Drosophila melanogaster: one gene and its partner. The protein of the gene in region 2 interacts with the protein of the main gene of each other region in a biochemical or structural test. Each region holds a gene or a part of one and is shown on either strand. Other genes may lie near its edges.

Evidence for each region.
Region 1: the proteins of Incenp (region 2) and aurB form a complex in vitro, tested with the Drosophila melanogaster proteins (one study listed by BioGRID).

Annotation. Positions count from the first base shown.
Region 1 is NT_033779.5:10,855,993-10,860,020, forward strand, and holds aurB (aurora B), read right to left. Parts: upstream 2,103-4,028; 5' UTR 1,986-2,102; coding exon 1,852-1,985; intron 1,797-1,851; coding exon 1,079-1,796; intron 1,019-1,078; coding exon 881-1,018; 3' UTR 805-880; downstream 1-804. Other genes in the region: Dnz1 (DNZDHHC/NEW1 zinc finger protein 11), read right to left, coding at 1-106, 171-286; Stam (signal transducing adaptor molecule), read left to right, coding at 2,843-2,885, 3,378-3,655, 3,715-4,028. UniProt on the Drosophila melanogaster protein: Serine/threonine-protein kinase that mediates both meiotic and mitotic chromosome segregation. Required for histone H3 'Ser-10' phosphorylation. Phosphorylates mei-S332 within residues 124-126 and stabilizes its association with centromeres during meiosis.
Region 2 is NT_033778.4:7,276,767-7,282,599, forward strand, and holds Incenp (inner centromere protein), read left to right. Parts: upstream 1-1,839; 5' UTR 1,840-1,962; coding exon 1,963-2,031; intron 2,032-2,094; coding exon 2,095-2,275; intron 2,276-2,340; coding exon 2,341-3,400; intron 3,401-3,463; coding exon 3,464-3,560; intron 3,561-3,704; coding exon 3,705-4,371; intron 4,372-4,527; coding exon 4,528-4,721; 3' UTR 4,722-5,029; downstream 5,030-5,833. Other genes in the region: Br140 (Bromodomain-containing protein, 140kD), read right to left, coding at 1-1,116.

The DNA of each region.
Region 1 (4,028 bases), on a different chromosome or scaffold from region 2:
GGGCAGCGGCACAGTGCCTGGATCGGAGAACACGGCCTTGGAGTGGGACATGGCCAACAGGAAGACGACGGTGTTAAAGAGCACCACATGGAAGGACATCCAGAGGCTGTCGCCAAGTGGGTAGATATATATATAATGACGTCATGGTGCGTACAGTATGCATTACTCACCTGCCCGGCATGGTGGTCAGAATGATCCAACGGATGACCACATAGTCCGCGTACAGAACTGCTCCGTAGGTGACTACCAAGCAGGCGATGCCACAGGGATCTCGGATAAAAACCATTGCTCTGCTGCCTGCGTCTTGTTGGACTGACCTGGGTGATATTGCCTCTCCGCCCCTTCTATTTAATTCAATTAGAAACCGAAGGGGCTGATGTTCCTAGCCCCCCTCCCCCTGAAAATCGAGGGCCGAAAAATAACAATTGTTGCTGTAGTTCCTCGGCTCGTCTGGCGACCACCGATCCACTGCTGGGCGGGATACGAGGCTCCTGGTGGCGGTCTCGTCGGCTGCCGCACTTTGCCCACTCACTGCTGGGTGCACGATTCACAAATCGAGCGTTTCATCGAAATTTTAGGGCTTATTTTACGCTTGAAATTGTCATTTATTTATTTAGGGTGACCGTTTGCGGGAAGCGCGAAAATATAGCATGGCCCACGAACTGGAACTAAGTAAGGCATGGGCTTAGAAAAATTAATTTAAAAGGGGTTAAATTAGAAAAAGGTAATTTAAGTAAGTTACTACCAATAGATTTTTATTTTTAAGCAGTTTTCAGATTTCAAAAATATACTCCAAACTTCATTAAATCTTATAAACCGTTTATTAAACATAAAAGTAAAATCTGAAATAAGTCGTTACACAATGCAAACTCGAAACCAGTCAATTTCTGGCCGTGTTCTCCTTGCCGCGCTCCCGTTTCTGCAGCTGCAGCTCCCTTTCGGCCATTCCCGCCTTCACCCAATAATGGGTCATCACATCCACCAAGGTGATGCGGCCCTTGCTTTCCTTGCGAAGCAGCTGCAAAGATGAAATCCCTGTTCAATAAATGGATCTCAAAGGAAACATCTTCCAACTCACCCCGCCAATCAATTCCTTGCAGCCCTTGGACAAATGCGATGGGTAGGAGATCTCCATGCGCCGGATCTTGCTGTAGGTGCTCTCCGTGCTGTTCGACTCGAAGGGCGGACAGCCGACGACGAACTCGTAGCACAGAATGCCCAGGCACCACTGGTCCACCGAGTCGTCGTAGGAGTTCCCATCCACCATCTCCGGCGGCAGATAGTCCAGGGTGCCGCACAGAGTCCTGCGCTTGTTGTTCGGCGTGTGCGCCGACCAACCAAAGTCGGCCAGCTTAAGGTCGTCCGTGCTGGTTAGCAGAATGTTCTCCGGCTTCAGATCCCGATGGATCACGTTGTTCAGGTGACAGTAGTTGAGGGCATTCGCCACTTGGTAGGTGTACTTCGCAGACCGCGGTTCATCGAATCGATGATTGGGTGCGCCACGCAGGTGCTTGAACAGCTCGCCCTCGGACGCAATTTCCAGGGCCAGATAGATGCGGCTCTCGTCGTGGAACCAAGTGAGCAGGCGCAGGATGTGCGGGTGCTTCAGTCGCGACTGGATCTCGATCTCGCGTAGAACCTGACGCTGCACGCAGCCCTTGCGCAGCTCCTCTTTGAACATCACCTTCATGGCCACCAGATAGTGCGAGTGGCGCTCCCGCGCCAAGTAGACACGTCCAAATTTGCCGCGTCCCAAGTGGGCGCCCATCTCAAAGTCCCGGGGACTCCAATCGTATCTGGAGGGAGCAGATTAAGTACGGATTGATACATTAGCTTATTGCTTGTACGTACGGCTGTCCGTATGCGTCGTGGGACATCATCTTGAGGCACATATTCTTGATCGGCTCCTGGTGCTCCTCGGGCACCTTGGCCAGCAGGTGCGGCAGGTGGTTGCGGTTGGCGTGCTTCGCGCGGGAAAGCGTCATGGCGCTGACTTGTTTATAATATTATGATTTTTAAGTAAATTAATTATTTTAAGTTGTATTTTCTATAAGCGTCCCTTTTGTTTGCGCGTTTTTTTCGAATGCTGAGATTAGTGTGACCGCATGCTAGAATCGAGTTATTCTGTGACTCTCAGTGAAGCAGTTAAGTCACTGTATTTTTAAATTCGGTCAACGTATAATAAAATATTTTCATGTTTCTTAAATAAAAATTAATCTTCTAGTTTTGTTCTTATATTGTGCATAGTTATTATAATATACGCTTCTCACCCGTAGGAGAATAGTTTGAGTGAAGGGCATAGAAAACTGTTTAATTATTATAAACCATAGCTACCAGTGCTCAAATCATATCAGATGTTTAATAGATTTATATTATTAGTTGTCTAAATTTATTTAAATATACAATATCAATAATATTTATATGTATATATAAATAAAAATGTTTTGCATAATATAAGTCTCGAATACCTCTAACTAACCATTGAAAATGAGCTGCAAAAAATCCTTTGGATTTCCCGACTATTCGCAATCTGGCCACACTCGCCATTAGTCATTTTTTACACAATAAACGTAAATTAAGCGAATTTGCAAGCGCTATTCGGAAGTTTTTAGGCTAATCGAAAAGATATAAGCAGCCCAAAAGAGATTTGGAAAAAAGCGAAAAGGTCTACGCAGGAGGAAGTACACCAAAAGCGTGCTTTCAGTCGCCGTGACGCACCGAAAATCGATTGGAGAGGAAAAACAATAGGGAAAACAGACAAAGATCAACTGATTTGGATTTATTGACCCCAGGGCAGCGCAGATTATTGGCAGATAGCCGAGCGAGCGGTTTGGTCATAAAGATGGGAATCTTTGGGCAGTCGTCGCCATTCGACGCCGACGTGGGTGAGTTACCACTTATCGTTAAGCTGTTGTGTTGGCCGATTGGACAAGCCGATGTTCCAATTGGACTGCACAACGGTCCAATATGCGTTTCATAGTTTTCTATTCTTATCTGGGGTCTAAAAACCCGCACACCACACCATTTTCCCCTGTTTTCCCTATGAACCCGATCCCCCGATTGAGCAGACAACAAAGAAAGTCATGTGAGATGCTGTGCGCAGCTCTGCGTCGTTCGTTGAACTTCTTATTGGAGTTGTTAGATGGCAGTCGCTGACCTTGAGTGACGTAGCACCCGCAGCCCCTCACACCCCCTCCGTTTACGCAGCCAACCCCCTCGCCATCCCTTAATGCAATTTAGTTAGTTTCCGATTGTATTGATTTTCTTTAGCTGCAATCAGTTTTCGAAGAAGCTTATCTTTGTTTTGCTGTGACTCAGAATATAAATTTCTATTTGACTGATAAGCTAATGCGGTTCATGCCTTTCTTGTTTTATAGAAAAGGCCACCAGCGAAACTAATACCAACGACAACTGGTCTCTGATTTTGGATGTATGCGACAAGGTAACGACCAATCCCCGCCTGGCCAAGGATTGCCTGAAGGCGGTGATGCGCCGCATGGGCCACACCGATCCTCATGTGGTGATGCAGGCGATTACGCTTTTGGACGCCCTGTCCAACAACTGCGGAAAACCGCTCCATTTGGAGGTGGCTTCACGGGATTTCGAGACGGAGTTCCGCCGCCTGTTGGCCAAAGCACAGCCAAAGGTTTCACTGGTGAGTACAAACAGTTTTAACTCACTTATTTCATTTCTAATTCCAATTATGATTCACAGAAAATGCGCCAAGTGCTGAAGAACTGGGCTGAAAACGACTATAAGAACGATCGAGAGCTCGACTTGATACCCGCACTCTATGCCAAGCTGCGCCAAGAGGGATATGATTTCAAGAATCTTGGCGATAAGACTAGCAAGACTGTTGCCGAAAAGGCCGCCGCCCTGCCCAAAGATCCGAATGTGGTCAGCAGCCAGCAGGAAGAGGATGACATCGCCAAGGCCATCGAATTGTCGCTGAAGGAGAACAAGGGCAGTCCAAAGACTGGGAGTGTAGCAAGTACCGGCACCGCCAGTGCCTATCCCTCATTGTATCC
Region 2 (5,833 bases):
GAACCGCACTTCCGGTATCCAAAGCGCACACACCACGTGCGCCCACTGCCCGTGGTCCGTCTGCTTGAATGCGCCGCCCGCATTGGGACAGAGCACACAGTTCACAGGCTTACTGGGTGACTGCAAGCATCGGCGGCACAGCCACTGGCCCTCCGGGATATAGGGGACACCGTAGCAGTCCTGGTGTACCGCCAGGTTGCACATGTCGCAGAAAAGTATCACGTTGGTGTTTTGGCACTCGCCGTCGAGGCAAATGCAGCAGACTGCGTCGTCGTCCACCTCGACGCCTGTGGGTGTGCCGTTGGCCGCCGCCTGGAAGTGCGACTCCTTCTCCAGCCGGTCCATCAGCAGCTCCATCGTGTCGATGCCCACGGCGTTCAGGCCGAGTCGCTGGCGCTCCTCGTTCATGTGCTCCAGCCAGGCGGAGTCCTCCTCGTCAACGTCGTACTCCACCTCCCCGTCCAGCTCCTCCAGGGACTTTTCGATGAAGCGATAGTAGGCCAGCGGCCGTGGCGGGGCGTCGGACACTCGGTAGTCCGGAATCTCGGCCACCCTGGCCACGGGCACCTGGACCCTTGCCCAGGGCGCGTTCTCCTCCAGCGGTGGTGCGTCGGCATTCAGAATACAGCCCCTGGCCACTAGGGCGGCGAACTCTTCGTCCTCTACGAGCGGCAAGGCGTCGTCGATGCCCAGGCGCACGCTCTTCCCGTCCAAGTTAAACGTCACCGTGGCCTCCTCCTCGTTGTAGGACACCAGTGACTCTGGATTGGCGTACTGCCGGGCGCTGACTCCGCTCGCCGATCCACCTCCTGCGCTGGCCGAGGAGCAGCCGTTTCTGGCCTCAGCTCCACCGCCACCCGGCGTGGGGTGATCCTTGTGCGGACGAGGCGTGGAGTGGTGGCCGCCGGAGCGTGAGCGCGCCTTCTTGCGGCTCGGAGTCAGCACGGGCGTGAGCGGCTGTGGGTTGTCGTGGTCGTACTTCATAAGATGGTATTGCAGACCCATGATGGTCTTGTAGCTGCGGTCGCAGCCGCGGACGGGACAGGCGAAAGGCGGCTGGGACTGCTGGGTCTTCACCCCTTTGCAGTATTCCACTGCGTCGAAGTCGAGGCCCATGATCTGGATCTGCGGCGCGATCTGTGGATCTGCTGCAGCTGGCTTCTCGGGGTTTGGCGGTTCGCTGGTCGCGGATCGCGGGCACTGTGTCTACTCCGCGGCACGGCTGCGCATACGTATGTGCATCCCACGGTGGTCGTCGCAGAGCGCGCGGTTTTGGCTGTCCACCGTTCCTGGTCGATTTTCGTTGGCTTGTTGCAAATTTTTTAACAAATGTGCTAGAGATGGGCTTGCTGGTCAGCTCGCCATGGCGATACTATCGTCGGAAGTGCTTGTGCAGCACTGGACGTTTGCTGAAACTTGTTTGAAATATTTCCGGTCCTTTACGCAAATTAATTCTCTTCCGTAATCTATATTTATAATTTAAATGTTCCTTTTTGTTCTTTCCCTTACCATTTTCCCTCAAATTTGTTTACAATATGTTTTTTGGGGAGCCGTGCAGCACTGCTTTCTAGAGATGGTAGTGGCGGGAACGTATTGGAACTGGTTCACCTAATGTTATACTTTCAAAATTTACAGGGCTAGAAATCCAGTACGTAACTATTTAAATAACCCAATAATATTATTTTAAAGAATTCAAATAAATATCTCCCAATATTCACTCAAAAAACAAGTTTTGGTTGTGTTTTTCATTTTGCGCGGGAACTTTATCGCCCGTGCAGTGTTGGAAAGCAGAGGCATAAATGCGCCTTACAGCACCCGACGAGCTGTTAACTGTCAACAGTGCACAATTAAAGGCATGTTATCAAATGCTGACGCGCGTCGCAATTGCCGCCATTTGAAAAAAACGATAAAATCGAAGGAACCGAATCCGGATTTGCAGTTTGTCAGATACAGTCGCTAGATATGGAGGACATCTTGGGCGTGCTGGGCTCGCTTTCGGACCTGCGCAGGGAGCTCGAGGTCCTGCGCAAGGTAAGCCAGGATCAGGAGACGAAATTCCGACACTGTCAACATGGCGTCATATGTGTTTTTTAGGCCCACTTTGAGGAGCTGGACCACCTCTTCTACGGCACAGGCCAGCCGGAGGCGGAGGCCAAACCGAGGGACAGTGCTCCGGCAGCGAAGAGTCAGGAGAACTCTTCGGTGACGCCGCAGCAAACGAAAAAGCGCCCCAAGCGACTCACCTCACTGGCCGAGGATCAGAATGAGCCCGAGGGTGAGTATCCTGGCCATTTTAAAGCATTAACGACCAACAACCCCTGTGATATTCCATTTGAGCAGCTCCAGACGCCACGGCCAACAACACGTCGGCCCGTCAAAGCACTCGGGTCAGCAACTCCCAGTTGCTGGCTATCGCCGAGGACGAGCACAACTCCACGGCCTCGCTGATGCCGCCTCCGCCTGTGCCCGTCTCGGCGGACACCACCCTCGGCTCCGGAAGGCCACAGCGAGCCGCTAAGCTGAAGACCGAGAAATTACTCAAGGAGCCCTCACTCAACCGTAAGATGCGGCGGCCCAGCAGCGAGGAGCTCGTAAAGGTCAAGGTTGAGAGCGAGCAGCGAGTCTCCCAGTTTAACAGCTTCACCAGTGCACAGGCGTTAGAGGAAAATAAACTAGCGGAGCCGGAACTAGAAGAGCCAGCAGCAGAAACAGCTGAGCAGCAAAAGCCTCCGGAGGAGGCCTCAGTCACAGAGGACGTGAACACCACGAAGACACTCCGCGTGAAGGTAAAGCGCGAGAAACTCAGTACCGAAGCAGTGCCCCCGTTAACCAATGCGGTCTCCACGGCAAATGTGACCACCGTCTCCTCTGTAACAACGGAGGCAGCGCGACCGGACGATACGGTGGCCAGCAACACGACGACATCCACGGAGGTCTCCAAGAAGGTCCGCAAGAAGAAGAAGGACGTGGAAAGCCACCGACCCATAAAGGTGGAACGATTCAGCGACCTGGACAAGAGCTCGCCAGTCTCGTCGCGCACGCGCAAGTGTAGCAGCGATTCGCGAACGGTTCAGGAGCGATCCATATACAAGGATGCACTCGAAGATCCGCCCGTTGCAGAGCAATCAGTGGCTGCAGTTGCTCCGGCTGCTGTCAATGAGACCGTGGCGATTTCCAACGCCACCCTCGTACTGGGTCCTGCGCCGACGAGCGATAGTCCAATAGGACCAGCTGGAGATGCCACTTTTGAGGTGCACTCCAACGACAAGAAACAACCTCTGAGTAAGCAGGACAGCCTCTTAACGGAGGACGAGTCGGTGGAGGAGAAGCTGCCGACGACCAAGCTGCTCTCGAGCATAAAGGCTATAAAACTGCCTACCCGTACACATGAGCTTTTCAAGTGAGTAGATACCCTGCCTCTTCATGCATGTTATCCTTCTAAACAATCTTTGCACTTCTACAGCCCACTGCTTCAGAGTCCAGTGAAAATGCGCGTGGAGGCGTTCGAGAATGCGGCAAACGCACAGAACAGCATGCGCCCTAAGCGGGGAAAAGATCTGGTAGGTACAGTATAGTTGCACATATATAGCAGGCAGATAGCAGGCAGAATTAGGCTAGACTATTCACCAGTTCTGTATCAATTGGCGCTTTCTAGAACTGTTTGATAGGTGATTCATTTATTGTTATTTTTTTTTACTCTTCAGCAGGGCACGCCAGGATCAAACAACACTCCCAAAATTGGCAAGCTGCCTGCTCCGACTGTTGGTCGCTTTTTCACACCGACTCAAACGACAAGCACACTACCATTAAGCTCGGCGCAGCCCAAGAAGGGACCTGCCAGCGCGTCTAAGGCCACTAGTCTGCTGAAGACGGCCACCGGTACGAACCTAAGGTCGGTCAATTCCACGTCCACAAAAACGCTGTCGCGCGAGAACAGCGGAGACGACTTCCGCAAGGGCCTGCACAATCTGGCGGAGGAGCGCAAGAAGCTGCGTGAGCAAAAGCACCAGCAGGCTGCCCAGCAGCGCGAAGCCAAGGAGCGGGAGCGGGCAGAGCGTATGGCCAAGCTGGCCGCCGAGCGCGCCAAGAAGCAGGAGGAGCGAAAGCGAATTGAAGAGCGCAAACGACAAGAGCTGGAGGAGCTGCAGCGGAAGATGCGCCAGCAAGAGGAAGCCGAGGCGCTCAAGAAGGCCAAGTTCAAGGAGCTGGAGCAGCAGAAACTGCAGCAGCTAACCGGCGCCAAGCCCAAGAAGATGCTTCCGCCGCCGCCGAAAACCAAGTACACCTGGGAGATGCTGCACGAAGACGACTCGACAGACGACGAGGGAAAGGTCACCCACAAGCGTCCCCCAGCGCCCACCTGGAGTCGAAGTAAGTTTGTGGATCATTTCGAAGAGTTATTTTCGAGATACCTTATTCATCGTAAATATATACAAGTAAATACACCAGATTACAGTCTGATTTCCATTGGGACTACTAAAGGAAATGTTCTTAAATATAGATTCTGACTTATGTGTTTATTTTCAGGCCACGTAAGGGGAGAGGCAATTGCTATGCAGAGCCACTGCCCAACCGACATCATCGACAGCTTTTTCTCGGTGGCGCCCACCACACCGGACCTAAAGCAGATATTCCCGAACATCGATCCCAGCCAGCTGAAGCGAAACTCCAGCGTGCTGTGGTCCACGCCGCCGCGCTATTCCGAGCTGCCGAAATACTAGCCAAGTAGTCCTGCTCTCTTCTCCCGTAAATGCACATGTTTATGATCGAATAAATAAAGTTAATTGTGAAAATTAAAGCGGAGTACCGCTGCGCGATTCACTGCGACTCTGACACTAATATCCAGCTGCTTTAGAACTATTAAAGCCGCCAGCGTGCTCAATTAATGGTTCGCTGGTGGCTGCTTGCCGATTCCATTAGCCAAGTTGCCCAACAATGGATACGTCGATTCGTGAAAAGTGTGAAAACGCAGAGGAGGCAAGTAAACGAAATAAAAGAAAACAAGCCCGGCAAACACAATTTCACTGGTCATGGGGCATGGTTTTGTGGCATGATGCGCAGACGATCGAAAAGACTGCCTCGATTCGATTCTCCTCCATCATGTTTCCATTGCTGCTAATCCCACTTTTCCAACGAGCCATTCTCATTTTCAATCGAAAGCCGAAATCAGCGGAATCGGCATGGGCAATTGGCACAGTAATTGCTGCTGATTAGAGTCGACTCCATGTGGAAGTCGCCGCGGATCCACCCATGAATATGATTCGATGGGACCATCTTAATCCGCAATCTAATTAAGGCGCGTACGCTCCCCAAATTGCCACTTTCAATTGTTACTGTTTCCGTTTAAGTGCACTCTGTTAGTAGCTCCACTTCCCCACGGACCCAAGTCGATTGGGGCTGAATCTATGTGAATTCCATGTGGCACATTGGATACTCTATCAAAAACTGTAAGGAAAGATAGTAACACATCTAAATGAATAAGCTCTAAAATTCCATCAAATGCCACTTTTGTGATCCATCAGTTTGCAATTCTTTAGAACTTTTGAAAGACCAACTTTTAGATTTTCCCATGTTGGTCTTCCACCTGATATTACAGCCTAACAGAGTTGCCATCAGCATGCCAAGTAAAAGAAACTTTTTGCAAAATACAGCATTTGCAGCTCCAAATCAAAAACCTATTTTGAAGAATCGAACTGAAGACTGGCTGCGTAGTCTTCCACTCGCGGGCACTCTTCCGAAGAGCGGCCAAGCGAGTTGCGGTTTCTCGTTTCTTCGGCTCTGCGCGAAGTCTTCGTGCTTCGCACGAGTCAGTTTGAGTCGAGCGTTCGAACGG